4 linked regions of the Arabidopsis thaliana genome follow. The protein of the gene in region 1 interacts with the protein of each later gene in a pairwise test. Each region holds a gene or a part of one and is shown on either strand. Other genes may lie near its edges.

Region 1 (3,361 bases):
AAGCAAGCTAAATCGATCACACGACAGAATGAACAACAATGACCGGATCGAAACAGAGGAGAGTTCATCAACAGACATAAGAAGAAACATAGAGAAAAGGTCAGGAGACAGAGAGAACGAACAGCATAGAATTCAGAAGCTGAGTTCCTCATCGATTGGATCTAGCAAAGAATTTAAATTCGACAACACGAAAGACGAGAATATCGAGAAGGTTGCAGGAAACAGCTGGAGTTTCTTCCCGGGGTTACGATCTGGAGTCAGCTAACCAAATTAAAATGACATCTCTTCTTCTTCTTCCTCATTACCAAAGACAGAGATATAAAACCCTATAAGTAACAAACCTTGAACATGGATCGTGAAAAAAGGTAAGAGATTTGGGTTCTAACAACTTATACACACTGAATAAATAAGCTTAAAGCTTTGATTTGCAGTTAACTTCTGTACTCATGTAGTTGGAAACTTTGGAATATTCTTGGATCAGCTCCTACATCTAATCTTGTTACATTGATATAAATTGTTTATTTCTTGTTTTACTGTTTCATACAAATATATTGTTTGAACTGAGATCGTGAATGGTCTTATTCTATATCATTACTAAAACATTTTCATTTCTGTTCTTTCAGAAACATAGATTCGGTTATTATCGTAAGAAATCTAATACAACTGTGAACTACTACATAAACTGAATTGTTCAAAAGAAAACATCGAAATAATATACAGAACAAAAAGGGAAAACAACAAGAGCTGTGAACCACAAAGGAATTAAACCGGGTTTTGACTCTCCTTATTGGAACCGGAACTAAACCGGGATTTCAATCCTCCTTATCAGAACCGTAATACCTCTTAAACGCTCTGGGTAGATAAACCGGAATCAAAACACCAAAGAGATTAAACGACCAAATCCCTAAATTAGCCGCCGCCAAAACTTTCCCGGCATACATCCGCCGCGCAGAAACCGTCCCCGTCACATCCTCCCTCGAGAACTCACTCATAATCCACTCCACAAGAGTCAAAACCCTCCTGGCGTTGTAAACAATCGGAACAAGAATCCTCGCCGGAGCAGAGAAGCCAAACATGGTCGCTAATCCTTCCATAAAAATCTGACTCGCTAAAAGAAACACGTGCGGTGCAGCTGCGCTAACACCGTTCTTATCATCCTCAACGATTCCTTCGAAGATGTAACAGATCGGAATGATAAGCCCGACGATCCCCGCCGCTGTAACATAGATACGGAAGATTTTGTTTGTGGAGCTTGTGAGAGGAGCGTCACGGTTTGGATTGTTGTGTGGTGGGAAGATAAGTTTCGAGAGGAAGAAGAAGTAGATGAGAGTGAGGATCGTGAATATGAAATCTTGGATTGTTACGAGACCACTTGCGGAGAGAACGATGATTATTGCGAGGATGTTTAGTTGTCGGAATGAGAAGAATCCGGCGGGTTTTCCGGTGGATGATACTGTTGAGGTGGATTGGGTTTGATGTTCTTCTTCTTCTTCTTTGGGTAAGGTTATGTCGTTGTACGTTGGACCGACACCTCCAGACATCGTTTTGGTGTAAGTTTTTTTTTTTTGTTTTCTCGGGAAAATGTGGTGAGAAAGTTTTAGAGGTGGAGGAAGATAAAAAGAGTGTGAAGAAGGGGACACGTGGCGGATAGTGAAGAGTTTTGAATGGAAGAGGTTTAGAAGACGTGGCGGATTATTGTTGTGCTCACAATTAGTTTAGATTTTATTATTTTAACTACATGCAGGTAATTTCGTAAAAGTTCTTAAGAAACATATAAATATATGTGTTAATAGGAAGCCTAATTATTTTGGCTTTCTGGACGTAAGTGCACTAGGCTTTGTAGTTATAGATTTCAATTATAAGCTTCAATGATTACTAGTTATAAAAAATGATATAATTAGTTAGCAGGAAATGAATCCGGAACCATAAACTGTAGAATTGATTTAACTAAAAAGGAACTAATTACTAGAAATCGTATGAAACAAGGCATTGTAGATTACTAGACTTGTAGTAGAATATGGAATATTGTAGATATTCTACAAGAAGAGCTTAGATCATGGGTGAGAATACTTGGTTGTAGAAACAACTTTAAATTCGACCTCCAATGTCAAAGTGTCATTGTCCAAGTAATTACACTCCCGATGGCTATAGCCGCAAAATCTTCGCAACCCCACCCTTGAGTTGATTTCTTGTAACAGACGTTAACTGCAAGAAAAATAAATATATGTAAGGTATTGAAAATTTAGTTAAGACTTGAAAAAAGCAACTAAGTGATTTATTCAAGAATATAGAAAATTGTGTTTCAAAGTTAATTATACGTTTCTGTGTGACGTGATTGTTGTATACATGTGGACGTGGGTATAATACTCGGAGATCTGCATGCACGTAAATCTTCTCATCCTCCGAAAAGGTTTCACTATCAGCTATATATATGCAGAAATAAGGACAACCATTTGCCATCTGCCTCTCTTCCCTTTGGATACATCTTCAAACACCTATAGAAAAGTCACATTATTTTGTATACACTTAGCATACATAGACGTGTATATATATTCAATGACTTATTAGCCTCACCATTCTCTTCCTCCAACTGAAAAGTTGTTTGACACATAAAGATTCTCTGTCAATAAGGAGAAACCATTGGCACTCCAGGAGAATGTGGATGGTGAGAGTTTCTGATCAAAAGACATCACTTCCCAATTGGTAAGGGGTGGAACAACCATCACTTCAACACCAAACTCGCATTTTTGCCCGTCGAATATATATCCATTTTTTGGATTTTCGAATAAGTGGAGAGGAAGCATTTGAGAGAATCCCCATACCATTCTTAAAGCATTGAAACGCTTTACTTCAGTATCTATTAGAAAAAATGGAGTAATTCAACGTGACATATGTGACAAATGAACAAGTCTTATATAGTTAATATAAATATTGAATAATATAGATATGTTTTAAACCAACAACTTTGAATAGTAAAGTACATTTGTTCTTTCTTATTGTAGACGAAGAACTTGACATATGCAAAAACTTCAGATGTGCTGTCTATTTCTACGTACATTGAAATATAACCACTTCCATGGTCCTCGTCGTTCCCTTTTGGATATATAATCAATTTCCTGCAGGTTTTCTTTTTAACAGAAATATTATTGCATAAAGTAAGAAAGATTCATGTTCTTTTCTTATGATGAAGATTTAATTTAACCCTTCAGGAGCTAATGTGTACATAGTAAAATCATGGTCTATATGTGTTACATGTCTCATAAAACATAAATGGTAATATATAAGAGCAAGATTATAGCTACATACCAGTAATACCCGCCTACCGTGAAACGACGAGATTGGTATTTTTCATTGTTAAGTT
Region 2 (5,206 bases), 4.3 Mb from region 1:
CGCATCGATTTCCCACTTTTCCCTTTTTTATTTTATTTTAAATAGATCATACTGCAGAAAGCGGAAGCTAAAAAAATAAATAAAAAACAAAAAAAAAATAAATGGAAATTAAGCTGACTCAATTATGGGTCAATTGCAAGAATATCGCTTTTTCAATAAAATAGTAAAAAATTAACCTCATATTACTAATTAACATCAGATTTGGGAAGTATAGTGGATCCTATCGGTAACATACAGCTGTTCAAATCTTAACTGTTAACGGTGATAAAAACTTTTTCGGAATACTGCAAAGTTGTAAAAAAATAGTTGTACGAGAAAGCTATATAGTAATAAAGCTGAGAGTAAAACTTTTTGTAACGCTTTAAAAAAGCTTTTGTAATTAACAGAAATAAAAGCGGTACAAATTGTAATACTTTGTTTTTGTTCACCAATCAAAGCCAATATACTTTGTTTTTGTTCACCAATCAAAGCTAGTATCCGTTTTGAGATCATTACTGAAATTATAAAAACTTTAATTTGTTTAATTTATTACAAATAGACAGTGAAAACCTTCATATGTAATAAACGATAAACCTTGGTTTACAATAATAAAAGAAAAAAGAAACTGGAAACTATAATGCTATTGCATGTAGTCTAGAATTTAACTTGTGTTCACAAACATTCTCTTTCAAAGAAGTTTAATTAATAACAGCTCAAGCTTAGAATTCCCATCACAAGATCAAAATCCATGTGTTCAACAATTTTTAACATTATAAGCTACATCCGAATTGTAATCCCTGAATAATCCAACTAATACAGATTATAAGTCATAAAGACACTTTTGTTGGACCAAAAAAAGTTGATTAATGTCATCAACAATCAATCGACCTTGCATTTATAAACGCATGCTGTTATGGCCAATACAGCTCCAATGATAAGTCCTAATATCGCCATTGCCAAGACTGTCGAACCCAATCAAACAACGTATATATCAGTACTCCGCAACATTCTTTCATCATGACCAACCACAGTGAGGAAGAATGACATACCAGCAATGGTGAAGTAGATGAGAACTGCCAATCGGTATCTGGTCGTTCCTGGTAATTCAATTTCGAGTGTGCAATATCGTTGAGACTTTCCCTTAGTTGTTGTATCTTTTAAAGAATTCGAGCCTCCTGGTTGGAGTTCAGATAATGAAACATTCGTGCCTAGTACAGTGTCTCCGTTAACATCTCTGATCTCGAGCTTTATGGTAACCGGATTTGCATTCCAATCTATCGATATTGCTCCAAAATTTTGTTGTCCTGCACGTAAGTTTAAGATATTGTAACCAATGTAATCATACAAAAGAGTACATCGCTGCTCTGTTAAATCAACTCACAACAGTTACAGTCTACTATATTCCGTCCTAGGTTAGTGACAGTAGAGCTATAGAGCTAAAGTTGGAACTTAAAGTAGACTCACTGTGTCTTGGCTTGTCAATAAATCTTTCCACAGTTTATCAGAAGAAAACGTAAAAGGAATCAAATTGAGAATAATACCGTATGTGCAAGATTTGAATTTGCAGTTATCATTGATAACTCTCATCGTGCTTGGAGTATACCAAAAAAGAAGCCTAACTATGGAACGCAAGGGACGAGGGACAACTTTCTCAACAGATTGTACTAGACCACTGGAGGTGACATCATATAATGGGTACCCAACAGAACAATCATATCTCGTGATTTCTCCAAAATGTACATCTCCACTGATGAATATAACTCCATCTCTCTGTAATGTCAAAGCAACGAAGAATTATGGGGACGAGGAAAGAAGAAAACTGACAGTTGGAAACATTACTGTCAACAATCCCATACCTTAGTATCTGCTATCAGTTTAAAAAGACGTTTCCTTTCCTTTGGAAAACGACCCCATGATTCCATATAAAAGAGAGGTCCAGTGGTAGCAGAAAGATTTGATATCACCTGGACAAGTTAAGAGACAACAGTTCTAGATGGAATAAGACACTCAGGCTTCATCAAGTTTAAGTCCATGGCCAAACTGGAACAGGACACAAAAGTCTAATTTGCAGATACCTGAACAGAGGATCCTATGATAGTGATTTCGCTTCGGGGACCGCTCAATTCATTTTCGAGCCAGTCCCACTGCGTATCACCCAATATGCTCCCGTCACTTCTTAAAGGGTCTCTATGATATCTAGTATCTAAAACTATAACCTGAAGGAGATACACAACTGTGTTAAATCACATATAAGCTCTTCATTCTAAACTTAACAAAACTACCAAAGAAGACAAGAGTTTCTGTTAATACCTTAACTTTCCGATTAGGCGGACCATAAGTATAAGAAGCATAAACACCAGCTTGCTTTCTCCTAGGACTATCAAGAGGCTCATTCAAGAAATCAAGCATAAGTTTTTGGTTAATGACTTTACGATCAAACTCTTTTCCAGCGTCATTCAATCCGTAATCATGATCATCCCATGTACCAATAACCTTAGCTTTTCTCTGAATACGAGAATATCCAGGATTAGCTTTGGCTTTAGCGTATCTTAGTTTCATTTCTTCCTCTGAAGAAGGTACAAACCTCGGTGAATTCCTCCATGGCCCAAAAGTTCTCTCTTTCCCAATGACTGTAAGTGGTCTTCTTATATCTCCGTAGATGTTATCACCCAACCAAATAAACAGTTGCGGATCAAACTTGTTTATCGCATCCCATATCGGCTAAAATGTAACAAAAATACAATGTTTAACATAGTATGCAACACAAGCTTATATCATCTAAGAGAACATCGGCTAATTAAACAAAAACCATAATCAGCTCACTTAAACACCAGCCAAACAGAGCAGTCTTAAAACACTGAATCCAGAGCCAAGTAGGGGTTGTACGATTGATTTACCTGTGGAGCACTTTGATTAGCGCATGATCCGAAGGCTATACGAGTGATAGGAGTCTCTTCTGCAGCAATCACCACCGTAAGGAGTAAAGAAAGGCACCAGAAAGAGATTTGGTTCATGACGATGTGGTGAATCGAAGAGAAAACCCTAGAAGCAACCGTGGAAAGAGGAATCTTCAAGTTTTCATTAAAAGATCCACAAGTTTTGGCTCGCCGCAGATTCGGTTCCGGCGATTTTCAGTTACCGTTGGGATTTTGATAGACAGAGACTGTAACTTTTTCTACTTTCTTCTCGTGGCTTTGATTTTTAATAGCTTTACTTTTTCTTTTCTTCAGATGAAATTTCTATTGCCTGGTTTTATGAATCTTTTTTCTGGGTTCCAAACAAAAAGTGAATTTGTGAAATATCCGTATTATTTATAATTATGGAATGACCATTGAATTTTTTTGTAGATTTGTTTAACATATGCAATGATTTTTTAAATATGAATATTAATTACTTGAGAAACAAATATCTACTACATATTAAAAATGAATTTGTATTTTCCCCTTTGAATAGAAATCAAATTCACTATATGTGGCAAATAGATTAATTCATTTTGATTTGTATTACATAATTTAAATTGTTTATCTACTACTATGTGATGATAAATCCATTTAATATGTGTTCTTCTATGAAAACTTTATCCGACCAAAAAAATAATTTTATGAAAATTTTATTCCAATTTTCTAGATTGTATAAAATTTCCCCGGAACCATGCAAATTCAGAATTTTTTACACTAGAGACTTCTACGGATGGCAAAATTGTGAAGTGTAATATTGTTTTAGACATTAAGAAACAAGTTTCGAAGCGGATCGTTTTAGTTAAAAGGTTTACAAACAATATTATCTCTTATTGAATAGAAAAAGTGAATTGGTGCAATAATTATGTATCTGTTTGTAACTGTAATTATAGAAACATCCAATAATGTGAATCAATATCATTGTTCTAGCATAATAAAACTGTAGATTTACAAACGTCAAACGATATGAAATGTTTTACCGACCTCTACCAAAAAATGAGTGATGTGAGAATATACGCGCGTTATCGGTTGTTTCTCACTCACCTAGTGACATTGGTCGAGCGGCAAATGGTGGTGATGACTGGCCTCTTTTACGACTCGCAGTTTTAGATTTTAGTCCCCTTAATTGGGTATTCTCAGTTATGGGGAGACATATAAACACATTTTGTATGTTTTGACAAATTCAGAATATCAAAACAAGACACGTTTATTATGAAGTGTGTTAAATAATACAAATAGATTAGATGAGACACAAATATACAAAGGAATAAGAATCTCTCACAAAAATAATAATTGAATGAATAAAATTTTGAGGAGGGAAGGAAGATGTCCCAATCCCATATATATCATCTCAACGCATCATCAAAACAAACTCGTCAAAGCTGAGAACTCCATCGTCATTCTGATCAAACCCACGAATCATAACCTTACAAGCATCAACCGTACACGACTCGCCGAGTCGACTCAACGTCCTCCGTAAACTCGCCGCCGTAATAAACTCTTCCCCCTCCATAACATACATCCCAAACGCTTCTTTCAACTCCTTCCTCCTTTCTTCATCACTACCATCTTCCCCTTCCATAAGCTTCAAAAACTCCTCAAAATCTATAAACCCGTCTCCGTCAACGTCTGATGTCTTCACCACTTCCTCCACCTCACGTGACGATAACGCGCCGCCTAAGAGACTAACGCAGCTTTGTAGCTCTTCACCGGAGATTTTCCCGTCTGAGTTTGCATCCATATAGTCAAAAACGGTTCTTAGCTCGTTAACGTTTAACGAGCTGCTTCCGCTACTATTACTGCTCGTTCTTGATTCGTCTTCAAGGTTTCTTGACGATTCTGATCTCTTCGAGGAAACTTTCTTGTATAGTCGTGACAATGATGATTTTTGGTTCTTAGCGAGAGTCATTTCTTGATTTGAATATGAATCTAGAAGATTTGGGAAATGGATTTCTGATGCAAATTCTTTTCAAGAAGTGGTAGATTATATATAGATGAGTATGTGAATGCGTGTAATGGTGGAGAGATTCTTGATTGTTCGACGGTTAAAACACGGGTTTGAATATTTTGGTGTTATTATTTAAAGCTAGAGGCGGTTGCGCGGCGGTGGCCGGGAAGTTTCCTCCGCAATGAGTGTTTGTGGGGAAAGGTCAAGTTGACCACGACTAGGGGTGTTTTCGTAATAATGTGATGGTAAGTTTTTCTCACGTATTGTGTGAAATGTGATGTCATATCGACGACTAGATTAAGAAAAGTAGCAAACCTTCTCT
Region 3 (5,802 bases), on another chromosome or scaffold:
TTGAATAAAGGTTTTGGTGTGATTTGTATTAAAATCTTGTGTTATTCAAACATGAATTTAAAAAGTTTGTAAAACTCAAGTGTTATTGGATTATTAATTTTAAAATGTAGAATCAAATCAACCAACATTGTTCACAAATGAGAACTTAGTTATAAATGAAAATTTTCTCTTTTAAATAGGATTTTTACAAATGGGTGGAAAAATATAATTTATAATCAAACATAAAAATGTAGATAACTCCACTTCAAGAGTGTTGATTTCATTACTAGCCCTAGGGATGGGCATACCGTTTTTCGGTTTGGTTTCACTTCGGTTTTTTGGTTTTACGGTTTTTAGTTTTATAAAAGCTATAATCATATAGAAACCGTAAATAATTTTTTTTTTTTTATGGTTTTACAGTTTTTTAAAAAAGAAATATGTGAGATGTCAAAAAAAAAAAAATTAAGAATACAAATGTCCAAATCATATGATTTAAGGGAAGATTTTTATAAATTTAATAACAAATTTTCTAATTCCCTAAAATTCAACAAAATCATCTTAAAACTCATTAAATCTCAAATCACTGGAAATTCCTCCTTCGATGCCACTACCTTTGTCCATATTCCAACTTCTCCAATTCATGTTCGAACAACAACGCTTTTTTCTTCACAATTAAGTATGTTGTTGAGCTTCTTCTCTTTTGTTGCTAAAAGTATGTTGTGTACAAATCCGATTAGTTTTTCATCGTCAATGTACATGTATTATAATATTTTCAACGAAGAATTTAATTATGTATAAAAAGTTGAAAACTATGGAGAAAAGAGTTCGAGACCAAATGGATAGTCAAAGAGCGTTTTGGGGAAAAATAACTTCTGGTCAGTGAGTCATCTACCAACAATTGTTGTGAAAGTAACATCGTTAACGGAGGCAACATCGTGACCGTCAAAGTTGAGTTCAATGTCACCAGAGTTCAAGAACGAGTGGAAGGTCGGCTGTCTCGGGGGTGGAAGTTGACTGGTTTGACTCTCCAACATCAACAAAACCGAACCCATGTTTGGTCTGTGAATGACCGAGTCTTGTGTACACAACATACCCACGTGGATGCATCTCATCGCTTCCGTCACGTCTCTAGTGTCCTTCACAATTGGATCTATCATCTCTTTTGTCTTTCCTTGGCTCCATAAATGCCACGCCTTATTTTTTTTTTTCCGTTTAGAACATTCATTAGTAACAAATATTCGAATATTTTAGTTAGACCTGAAAATTTATGGTTAAAGAAAAGAGACGTACATAACCAATGAGACTTCCATGATCAGTCCCTCGAAAGCTAACGTTTTTTCTTCCACTCACAATCTCCAATATCAACACTCCAAAGCTATACACATCTGATTTCTCTGAGAATATCCCTTCCATTGCATACTCCGGAGCCATATAACCACTACACTTGTTGAACATCAAAATCATTAAAAATTGATAGAGTTCGATATTGTTTAATTTAGAGGAGATAAAGAGGTTTGTTAAGTTACTATGTGCCGACGACTCGGATTGTGTTGGCATGGTCTTGTCGGTAGTTGAATATCCTAGCCATACCGAAATCCGAGATCTTTGGATTCATTTCCGTGTCTAGCAAGATATTGCTAGCTTTTAGGTCACGGTGAATGATCTTTAGTCTTGAGTCTCTATGTAAGTAAAGTAATCCCCTCGCGATTCCTCCAATGACCTCCCATCGTTTTCTCCAGTCCAAACTTCCTTGTTTACTCTCATCTGCGCAGAGTCATTATATACTCAATCCGAACATTTTCAAAACATTTTAATTGAAATTGTTTAGAAAAAAACATACCAAAAAGAAAGCGGTCCAAACTCTTGTTTGGCATATATTCATAGAGAAGCATCTTCTCATTGTCTTCAATGCAACATCCTAGTAATCTAACAAGATTCCGATGCTGGAGTTTCGCGATTAGTAAGATCTCGTTCTTGAACTCCTCTAGTCCTTGTTTAGATTTCCCTGATAGTCTCTTCACTGCAATCTCTCTTCCTTCTGAAAAGTTTCCCTGTCCAAACATAACACATAAGTTTTTGCATACAAAGCAAAGTTTTATTATCCAGTATTATTGTCAGAAAAAAAAAATCATTTTCTACCTTATATACAGTACCGAATCCGCCCTGTCCAAGCTTGTTCTCTTCAGCGAAATCTCCAGTAGCTGAGGCTACGCTGTCAAAACTGAATATTGGTAAATCGGGTGTGTCAACTTGATCCCCTACTAGAACTTTGATCGGCGAGCTTGAGTAATCTCTGTTCTCTATGATATCAGAAACTGTGATATCTTTCTTCTTCCACAAGAAAGCTGCAGATCATGGAGTAATTGACAGTCTCAGTAGTTTAATTCTTGTGAAACAAGACTATGTACGAATAGAGACTTTACCTTTAAGGCTTTTCTTAAACTTCCATAAGATCCAAATGCATAATCCTAGTAAGAATGCTCCTATAACACTGAAAACAATTATCCAAAGTGTTGAATTTTCCTTCCCACCACCTGTATACACAACAAAAGAAACAGATTAGTCATGTTTAAATCTTTCACAATGTTATATGATAGCTTAAACATTTTTCCAAACCTAGTTTAGAACCCGCTAGCCGGATGTTGATAGAGTTTCCACCGCGTTCAAAATGTTCCATATCGATCAAATCACGGGTCCAAATCATGCATCCGATCCCTACTACTAACGCATAAGCCTTACAAGAACAGTCCCTTGCGCATACATCTTTACAGGTCTCTGAGTTGTTATGTAAAACAACTGATCCAAAATCAGGCACCTTTATTCCCTTAAGTACCGTAAACCCATCCTCTTGACCTGCAACCAGACTCTGATTACAGTTCAAAGGAACTCTTCTTTGGCAGCCACCTGAGAAGTCCCTGTTGTTCCATTGATCCTGATGAACCGGCTCAAATCCATCAATGCAACTGCATTTACCGGAATCAAACTCCTTACTATCATCACATACACTGTAATTACCACAACGGTTATACTTCTCACATTCCGTGCTTGGTTTCCATTGAAGCAAATTCCAGTTCCTGATATCCTTATTCCATCTGAACTGCTCTTCTACGCCATCAGGCCTAATCCAAAACCTCAAGAAATCGGAACTATCTGAGGCAACATACGTGAAGTACACGCTACCATCTCTATCAGGAGGAGAAGAGAGCTTAAACCCGTAAATATAATTTGTGAAACGGAGCATATCAGGTATACCGGTAAAGATAGCCGAATTCCACGGTCCGCTACGCCATTTTCTCTTTTCCCCTTCCCAAATCACAATCTCTAGTGCTCCCACAGGATCAATCCCCATTGAATACTTTCCTGGTGAAGGATCACTCTCGGATTTCCACGGGATAAATGCGCGATTTTCTCCAAGCGAAGGATTCACCCGAACCCTCATACCGGGCAAGAAAGTGTCGGTTGGATTGTTAAAACTCTCCCAATACCATTTTCTTCTGTCTGAGTCTGAACACAGAACCAAATCCCCTGTTTTGAACAGAACAGCAACCGTGTTGTTTGACTCGGGCTCGACATTTGTGGACCAAATGGTTTCGTTTTGACCGTTCACGATCACCAAATTTCCGTCATCTGCAATCTTTAGAGCTCCCTTGTGATCCAACAACGGCTTCTCTCTATTCGCAACCCAAACAACTGTTTGAGGTTCTATGTTCTTGTACCATATTCCAACATACCTTAACGTCGAATTTTTGGGGGTGAAGAATCCAAGCTCGAAGCTTTCATCCTCGCTGATCAGTGAGTCTCCCTCTCGTATTGTGTGGTTTCTAGTGAATGAGTTGCTTGTGGAGCAAGATACGTTGCTACATAGTTGATGGAATATCAAAAGAGTCGTCACCAAAGTAAGGTTTCTGTTAAATCCTGCCATATTTGAGATGATTTGAGCTTCAGAGATCTGTATATAACAAGAAGGAAAAGAAAGAAAAGAACAAAAATAGTGGCTATCGAAGTTTCATGTAGACTAGTTTGGTCTTTCTCAATTTAACGAGAAAAGTCGTCTTTAAAATTGAGGAAAATAGTGGAAATCATCTCCAAAAACAAATACCAACGAATGAAAAGGACAACCGACGAATTCGTGTTGACAAGAATATGAACTTTCACGTTTTATTTAAGACTTTTGATTTTATAGTGCAAAATTGTGACTTTTAAGGCAAGAAAAGGATATATCAATTGATTTTTATCTCTTATTGAGAATACGACCTTCTTCATTTGGGTGGTTGAAAACATCCAAAATAAATAAATATTCTAAATACATAAAAATACTAATGTAGAATGGTAATCAATATAGATTGGGGCACAACAGTACAATTTTATTTTTATGAGTTCAAAAATTTATTGGTGAAGAAAAACTGTAAATTCTATTGTTGAGTGGCGTTTTCACCTTACAAAACGCAATTATGGAAATATGCATAATTCAAATTTTGTGATGAATATAATCTAGCTGCATTACGAAGCACAAGTTCCTCTTGCGCAGATTCACTCATTGACATGCGTGTGAGGAAGCAAATAAACTACATTTTCCGACAGTGAGTGACATGATACTGGCGAAGGCATGACTTTTGGAGAATTATATTGCCCCACCACTTATTACTCGTGTAAGTCCTCGTCTTATAGCCTAGTTTGGTACAAACCCATTTTAAACATGGCTTTATCATATGCTTAGATTTTTATTTTTATTTTTATTTTGGTTTATAGATAAGAAATTTTCAGCAAATTTGTTATTAAAAAAAAAAATATATATATATATATATAGCAAAACCTTAAATAAATGGTGTGTGTGTGTGTTTTGCATTTGATTTGAAGAAATAATGTGATTTCATATCAAACAGTGTGATATCGGTTAAAATAACATGACAGTTGTTATTTAAAAAACACTAATAAATTTCACGTTATTGATAAATAAAAAAAGTATGTAAAAATGAATCAACTTTTACAATATTTCTCATCCATCATTTTTGCAACTGGTAAAATTTGGAGATCTTGGCCCTGAATGGATGCTGATTTTCGATTCAGTTTTTGGATTTAGATTTTAGTTTCTAGATTTTAGATTTTAGTTTTAGATTTTTGTTATTATATATTTGTTTTAAAAATCCCAAAAATTGGTTTTTAGTTTTTGAGATAAATAACGTTGATGAAGTAAAAACTAAATTTCCTAAATTTTAGGAAAACTAAAAAACTAAAATCATAAATGGAAAATTACAACAAAATAGTTTTTCTAAATTGTAGGGAAACCAAAATTTTAAAATCTTGATTGGTATGAAAATAAGTTTTTGAAAAACAAAATCCAAAAACTCTTACAAAATCTACGAAACATTCAAAGCCCTTGTAAATTTTACACATTTATAACCAAAACTTTAAACACTAGTCCTGCAGGTTTGAAATACGCTCTACCCAAAAACCAAAGGGTGAAATACATAGATAACGCTATAAACCTTTGTACATTGTCATGCTTTTCATTTTTGAATCAATAATTCTCAACGAAAGAAAAACAAAGAAATCAAGATTGTCAAATGCTTCAAATGAACACAATTCTTTCTAATGGTTTGTGGATTCTTCAGTCGTACCAAACCCGTATTAGAGTCATTTCCTATGTTTGGTAAGAAACTACAAACACGGAAACACCAATCATTCAGTATTGTTTTGGTCTCCGTCGACCAAAAGAGAGAAACATGAGTTTTAAATATGAAACTAAAACGCCAATATTGAAGGAACACAATGACATTCACAGATGGTATTTTCTTATATTCTGAATTCCATACATGTATGATA
Region 4 (5,644 bases), on another chromosome or scaffold:
TTGGGCCGAATTGGGCATGGAGGGCAAAGCCCGTATCCCACAATCTCATTGGCGGTCCGACACTTCACCTAGAACATGACAGAGAAATCGACTCGATGTACATTGAGGGTATTAAATGCGTAATAGACATGAAACCATGCACACATCTAAATTCTCATGTACAAAAAGACACTCTAAAAACATGCCCCGTATCTGCTCTTATACAAATCGTAGTGCAGTCGTCCGTCGACAGGGGTATACTTGTACATCAATTTTCATCAAACATGAGCTTCACCAATTCTTATGTCAAGTCGCTTGATATCAACATATGATATCATGTAATTCTATATACTTTCCCTCTTCCCGCAGGATCCAAAAAGTTGTGCAGAACAAAAGATCATCCGAGAATATCATCTTTCATACACTAAAACGATTACTTTGAATCCGAATTCTTGATCTAGCTTAATTTAGTTTAATACTCATGTATCGTTATTTTTAGTAGTATCAAAATAATTTGAAAAAAAGATGGAAAAGAGAAAACCACGTTGGGAAAATTCCAGCTAGGGATTCAACAGAGGCACACAAGTGTGATTCTTCAAAATTCCAAATTCTTTATATTGAAAAGCTTACTGAATTATAATACACATTACATTGTTCCAACTTCAAAACATAGGCACTCTTAAACAAAACACAGAAATACAAAATCTCTTAAAACTTCAAACTTCCCAACCAAACAAAACCACATAGGCTATTACTACTTAGTTAGGCGGCTTGAAGAACTTGAGCTTAAGTCCATTGGTAACCATACTCCAGATCCCACCTATGGAGAATGCCAAGCTGAATGCAACTCCCAACCAACCTAATCCCCAATGGAAATACCAATTGAAACTGTATTTCGCCGGTTTCTTAATCAAGACCCACATGAAGCAAGGATAAGCAAATGTGACCGGGAGAGTGAGTCCACCGAGCAACCCCGCAAGACTAGACAGAAAAGGGAGAGCAACACCGATGAAAAACGAGACAAAACCAAAAAAGACTCGGAAACCTGATCTGACCCAAATCGAACACGGCTTGTTGGTTCTGCTTGTGTAGCCAGCTTCAAAGCTGTCAAAGGCAGGCATGGAGTATATCTGAAAACTGCTCAAGCAGCTGAAGACTACTAGGAGAAATGCCGTCGCTAATAAGCCTCTCGGGATATCGTGAATGTGGAATGCATACAAAGCAGCAAGCATACCTCCTGAAGGCATCTATAAGACCAAGAAAAAATAACTTCAAACTAATCCGGAAATTGAACCAAAGATCAGAAAACGAACTATAAATAAATGATATTAGTGTTCCTTTTGAATTCTATATTTCACTAACATGAACCAAACACCAGATAAACATCCTTCACTGACAAGACATAAACAAAAGATATAGTAAATGGAACTTACAAGGTTCCCATAAGCCCAAAAGCCTCCGATGGAGATTGGAAAGATACACAGAGCAATGAGGAAGTAAGAGATTTTGGCTCCTCTCCACATTGGTACGTGAGCAGGATGCTTAAACGTTGATGGCATCGTCGACTACAAAGTTTTCAATACTCAGAATAAATCATAAGTCCAATATGTGCATTATCTATAGACAGAAATATTTTGCATATTTTACCTGAATTTCCAAAACCAAGTTGTGACCTCTGAAGGCAAAAGCTATAATGCCAAGAGCATTCAAAACAGCGAAGAGTGAACCAGAAGTCGAAGGCATAGAAAGAGGCTCGTATGAGATAGTGGCTGGTCTTGGTTGGCTCACAGAGAGAACCCAAACCATTGTGGAGTAAGTTATTGCAGTCACTGCTCCTATTAAGGAGAGTCCCGCAATAGAATTGAGGTTTGGTAGCTGAGACAGAACGATGCAGAGAGATGTAAACACCAAATACCATTCAACTGTTGTTAACGGATTCGAGGTGCATAATGGACCGCAAACTATCTGGAAGAAGAGTTTCATTGTCTCTCCACCGATCAGAATCAGCGCTGTCGCGGTTCCTGCTGATAAGTAAACCGTAGGAAACAATGCAAGCCATACTCCTAACCTTTCTCCTGTTCCAATCAAGAGTACAAGATTTAGTAATAGCAACTTAGCAAGACACAAAATTAGTATCAATAATAATTGTCACTATTGATGCATTATTTCATCATTCTTAATGTAAAACTAAATTTATCATTTTACCAAAAGCAGCTTGTGCAAGCTCGACATATCGATTGTAGCGTTTCCCGGGGACAGCTTCGTGCAACTGAACCAGAATCCACAGTGTGTAGAGTTGCCAGCAATATGCTATTGTTAAAGACAGTATTCCCCAACTCCTGTAACAACAATAATTCACTTCTTGAAGTTTGGAAATAATATATGTGCATTTTCTTACATAAGAATCTCAAATACATGATCATTGCAATATCATTATTCATCACTAAGCTATTTAAGTATTGAACTAGCCAAATGCTCCACCTTAACAAGTTATGTATAGTTTCAAATATTAGAACTTGCAATAAAAAATATTTATCTAAATATAAGTTTATAAGAAGAAATAGTCATCTATTATGACGTCAACTACATGCCCTACTTATATATACACAATAAATACTTTTCAGAAAAGTGTTTTTTGCCGGAAATTAACAAGAAACAAAGTAGACGATAAAGAAGGCTCTGTCTTAATCCAAATTAAAGCAAAAAAGTATGTCTGTGAGTATCCACATGTGTAATGATGGAAGCATGACAAATTAAAAAGAAAATATCTACTGCTAAAATTGAAATGTTTTCAAAGTTAAAAAGTAAATTAGTCAATATCCTATTATTATTTCCGACAAGAAAAACATTTTTGATTTTTGCCCAAACAAGTAAAGTGAACCCTGAAACTGGATCTGAGCACCACAGAGAGTCGAATAAACCCTCGCCGTTCACTAAACAAAAATAATCTTGAAACACTAAACACAAAGTTCAAGAAAAAACTCAAAAACAAGAAAAAAGATTATTGGAAAAATCAAGAAAAACGCAAACGCACCAGCCAAGAAACGCAAACGCGACGGGAAGAACAAGGGCTTGAAAACCAACACCAGCGTTGAGATTGTGAAAAGCAGCGTAATGAGCGTTTCCATTACGAGATTCAGTGATTGGAAGCCAAGCATCTTGTGGGTTTAGCTTAGTGAGATGACCAACTTCTTCAAGATACCCTTTCATGTTCACAAGAACTCGTTTCATTGGTGTACCAATCGGACTCAAGAACCTCGGTGATATGAACGAAGTCGGAGTCCATGTCGCCGACGATGGTTTGGTGGCCGGACGAGGTGATCTTTGACCGGAGGGAGTTAGAATCTCCGGTGTTGAAACTCGTGGTGTGGCTGGTATTGATATTAGCTCTGTCTCGGGTCTTTCGTCCATTGGAGCAGGTGAAGAGTGCGAGAAGAAATGATGTTTTTTTTTTGTTCTCACTATCACTCTCTCTCTCACTCACTCCCTATTTAGAGGGGTGGTTTTTTTTAGGACAACTTTATTGGTATTGAAACAAATTTTTATTTAATTACAAGAAGAGGACAGATTAACTAACGAAATTTACAATTAAATGACAATCAAAGTTGATAATTAAAGAACATGACATGATTATTTATAATGGTCTCAACAGTAACAATTTTTTTTTTGTAACATTACGACAAAAGTAACCTTCCCCATCAATACAAAAGTTCTGAACATATGTTTGTTTGACCAGTAAGTACTAAGTATTATGATGGTGAGGTCAAGTTTTTGAACATTATGACCAATTTGTTTATTTTTTAGCAAAAAATTGACATGAAATAGGTGTTGATGATCATAATCACTTTAAGTTAGCTGAAATATTTCACCTTATCTGAGTGGAAAAATAACATTGATATATGTAAATTAAAAAATAACAATGAAATATGTAGATTAAAAAGTAACACTGAAATATCTTAGCAAAGTAAAAAGTAACACTTCAAACATGTAAATGAAAAAATAGAGAGAAGAATTTTTGAGGCCAAGCAAAATTTGCAACTCACCTTACTCTTTCATAAAAAAATTCAATACAACAATTTAATTTTACCAAGGGATTAGAGATATCGATTATATAAGGGAGTGAATGCACTATAACACCCTTCATAAACCACCATTAACTCAGTTTAAATATTTGATACAAAAATTTATCTTTGTTCTTTCTCTAATATGCATTATACAAAATAACTATTTAAAAGATTCGCAAACTCATTTCTTCAGTTTTTTACTTAAAAATAAGATAAATACATTTTGGAGTTGGATCTAAACTCAACATCACTTTTTGGATGATTGAAGATTTACAGGATATGCTTGTCTGAAAATAATAGATTTGGAGTTAGCAAAATCTTTGTATTCTAGTGATAAAATAGATACGAGTAAGCAAAATAAATTGATACACATAATTGTAATGAAGTTTGGTCTTTCAAACTACATCCATGGAATTACATAATTGCAAACGTATAAACCAAATCCATTTGCTCTGACCTACCACTAAGCTAAATTACATCTAAATTTAGAGTTTAGTCATGATTTGAAAAGGAAGAGTTACAAATTATGTCCAACTTGACGTTATTTGTATTTTATTTTCTTGTATCTCTTCTACCATCTACTAAAAGGAGATATCTTGCTCTTCAAGTTAGGAATTATCCAACATCACTTGTCGATGGACTTTCTACTGAAGCTACAAGGACATGACATGCTCGGTTATATCATATTGGAGTTGATTCACAGAGAAGATGTTGGAGAAGTACATGAAGAAGATGATGGCATGGAGGATATCACTAAAAAATACCATAATGAGGTTGGTGAAGTAGTTCAAGGAGTACCACAACTGAGAAGGTCGGGTCGACAAATAAGTCAGTCGCGGTACCTTGAAGACTATGTTATGCAGTCCGAAACAACTTATGGATTGTTCCACCAAGCTTATGTTAAAAGTAAGAGACGTCAACTTTCAACAAGTAATGAGCCAAGAGGCTAAAGATGTGCTTTAATGGAGGAAAGATGTGAAGAGGAGTTTGAATCAGTCAACAAGAACAAGATGGTTCCTTGTTGACATATTCATTCAAGTTTTGATCGGTTCAAAAGCTTTTCAAGAGTTTTAGAGAAGCAAGTCGGCTTGTCTATTAAAACCTTTTGTACCGATAAAGGAGGAGACTTTACTTCAAGGGAGTTCAATCGATGTTGCATAGAGGAGGAGTCTCCAGGTATCTAATGAAGATTCTAAATGATATGTGGAGAGAAGTCGTACGTCATTGAAAGATCATGGGACTACATCTAAAGAAACTAGATGAAGAGTCAAGAAGTATAATCACGAGGCTGCATCTCAAGAAGGTAGATGATTGGTCAATCTTGGAACTAAGTCAGATTTTAGAGATGTTTAAACCAAGTTGGGTTTTATTAGAGAATATCAAAACAAGCAAGGTCATGGTATTTGGGTGTTTTGTACTAGTCATTGAAGTACAAGTAATATTTAGCTAAGAAAGCTGAAATGAGTATGATACATTGCAACACACCGAAATTTAATTAGCCCACGATATATCATAAACAAAAATTTTTCCACACAATTTTAACTAAATCAACATGTTTCGACATGTCAAAATATCATAATAAGGTTTTAATCCTTGTTGTA

The links.
Region 2: the proteins of AT5G52420 (region 1) and AT5G42370 interact in a protein complementation assay, tested with the Arabidopsis thaliana proteins (one large-scale study listed by BioGRID).
Region 3: the proteins of AT5G52420 (region 1) and AT1G61610 interact in a protein complementation assay, tested with the Arabidopsis thaliana proteins (one large-scale study listed by BioGRID).
Region 4: the proteins of AT5G52420 (region 1) and AT1G47670 interact in a protein complementation assay, tested with the Arabidopsis thaliana proteins (one large-scale study listed by BioGRID).

The regions. Positions count from the first base shown.
Region 1 is NC_003076.8:21,279,997-21,283,357, reverse strand, and holds AT5G52420 (uncharacterized protein), read right to left. Parts: upstream 1,586-3,361; 5' UTR 1,542-1,585; coding exon 813-1,541; 3' UTR 552-812; downstream 1-551. Other genes in the region: AT5G52430 (hydroxyproline-rich glycoprotein family protein), read left to right, coding at 1-265.
Region 2 is NC_003076.8:16,938,471-16,943,676, forward strand, and holds AT5G42370 (Calcineurin-like metallo-phosphoesterase superfamily protein), read right to left. Parts: upstream 3,265-5,206; 5' UTR 2,994-3,264; coding exon 2,877-2,993; intron 2,701-2,876; coding exon 2,290-2,700; intron 2,196-2,289; coding exon 2,055-2,195; intron 1,944-2,054; coding exon 1,836-1,943; intron 1,750-1,835; coding exon 1,444-1,749; intron 1,284-1,443; coding exon of another isoform or gene 1,225-1,283; coding exon 1,029-1,224; intron 942-1,028; coding exon 859-941; 3' UTR 511-858; downstream 1-510. Other genes in the region: CML37 (calmodulin like 37), read right to left, coding at 4,288-4,845.
Region 3 is NC_003070.9:22,731,571-22,737,372, reverse strand, and holds AT1G61610 (S-locus lectin protein kinase family protein), read right to left. Parts: upstream 4,015-5,802; 5' UTR 3,902-4,014; coding exon 2,596-3,901; intron 2,514-2,595; coding exon 2,403-2,513; intron 2,325-2,402; coding exon 2,119-2,324; intron 2,031-2,118; coding exon 1,820-2,030; intron 1,744-1,819; coding exon 1,506-1,743; intron 1,418-1,505; coding exon 1,270-1,417; coding exon of another isoform or gene 1,231-1,269; exon of another isoform or gene 1,173-1,230; coding exon 864-1,172; 3' UTR 515-863; downstream 1-514.
Region 4 is NC_003070.9:17,536,097-17,541,740, forward strand, and holds AT1G47670 (Transmembrane amino acid transporter family protein), read right to left. Parts: upstream 3,624-5,644; 5' UTR 3,391-3,623; coding exon 3,014-3,390; intron 2,319-3,013; coding exon 2,185-2,318; intron 2,055-2,184; coding exon 1,627-2,054; intron 1,545-1,626; coding exon 1,413-1,544; intron 1,227-1,412; coding exon 738-1,226; 3' UTR 529-737; downstream 1-528. Other genes in the region: AT1G47680 (uncharacterized protein), read left to right, coding at 4,679-4,993. UniProt on the Arabidopsis thaliana protein: Amino acid transporter.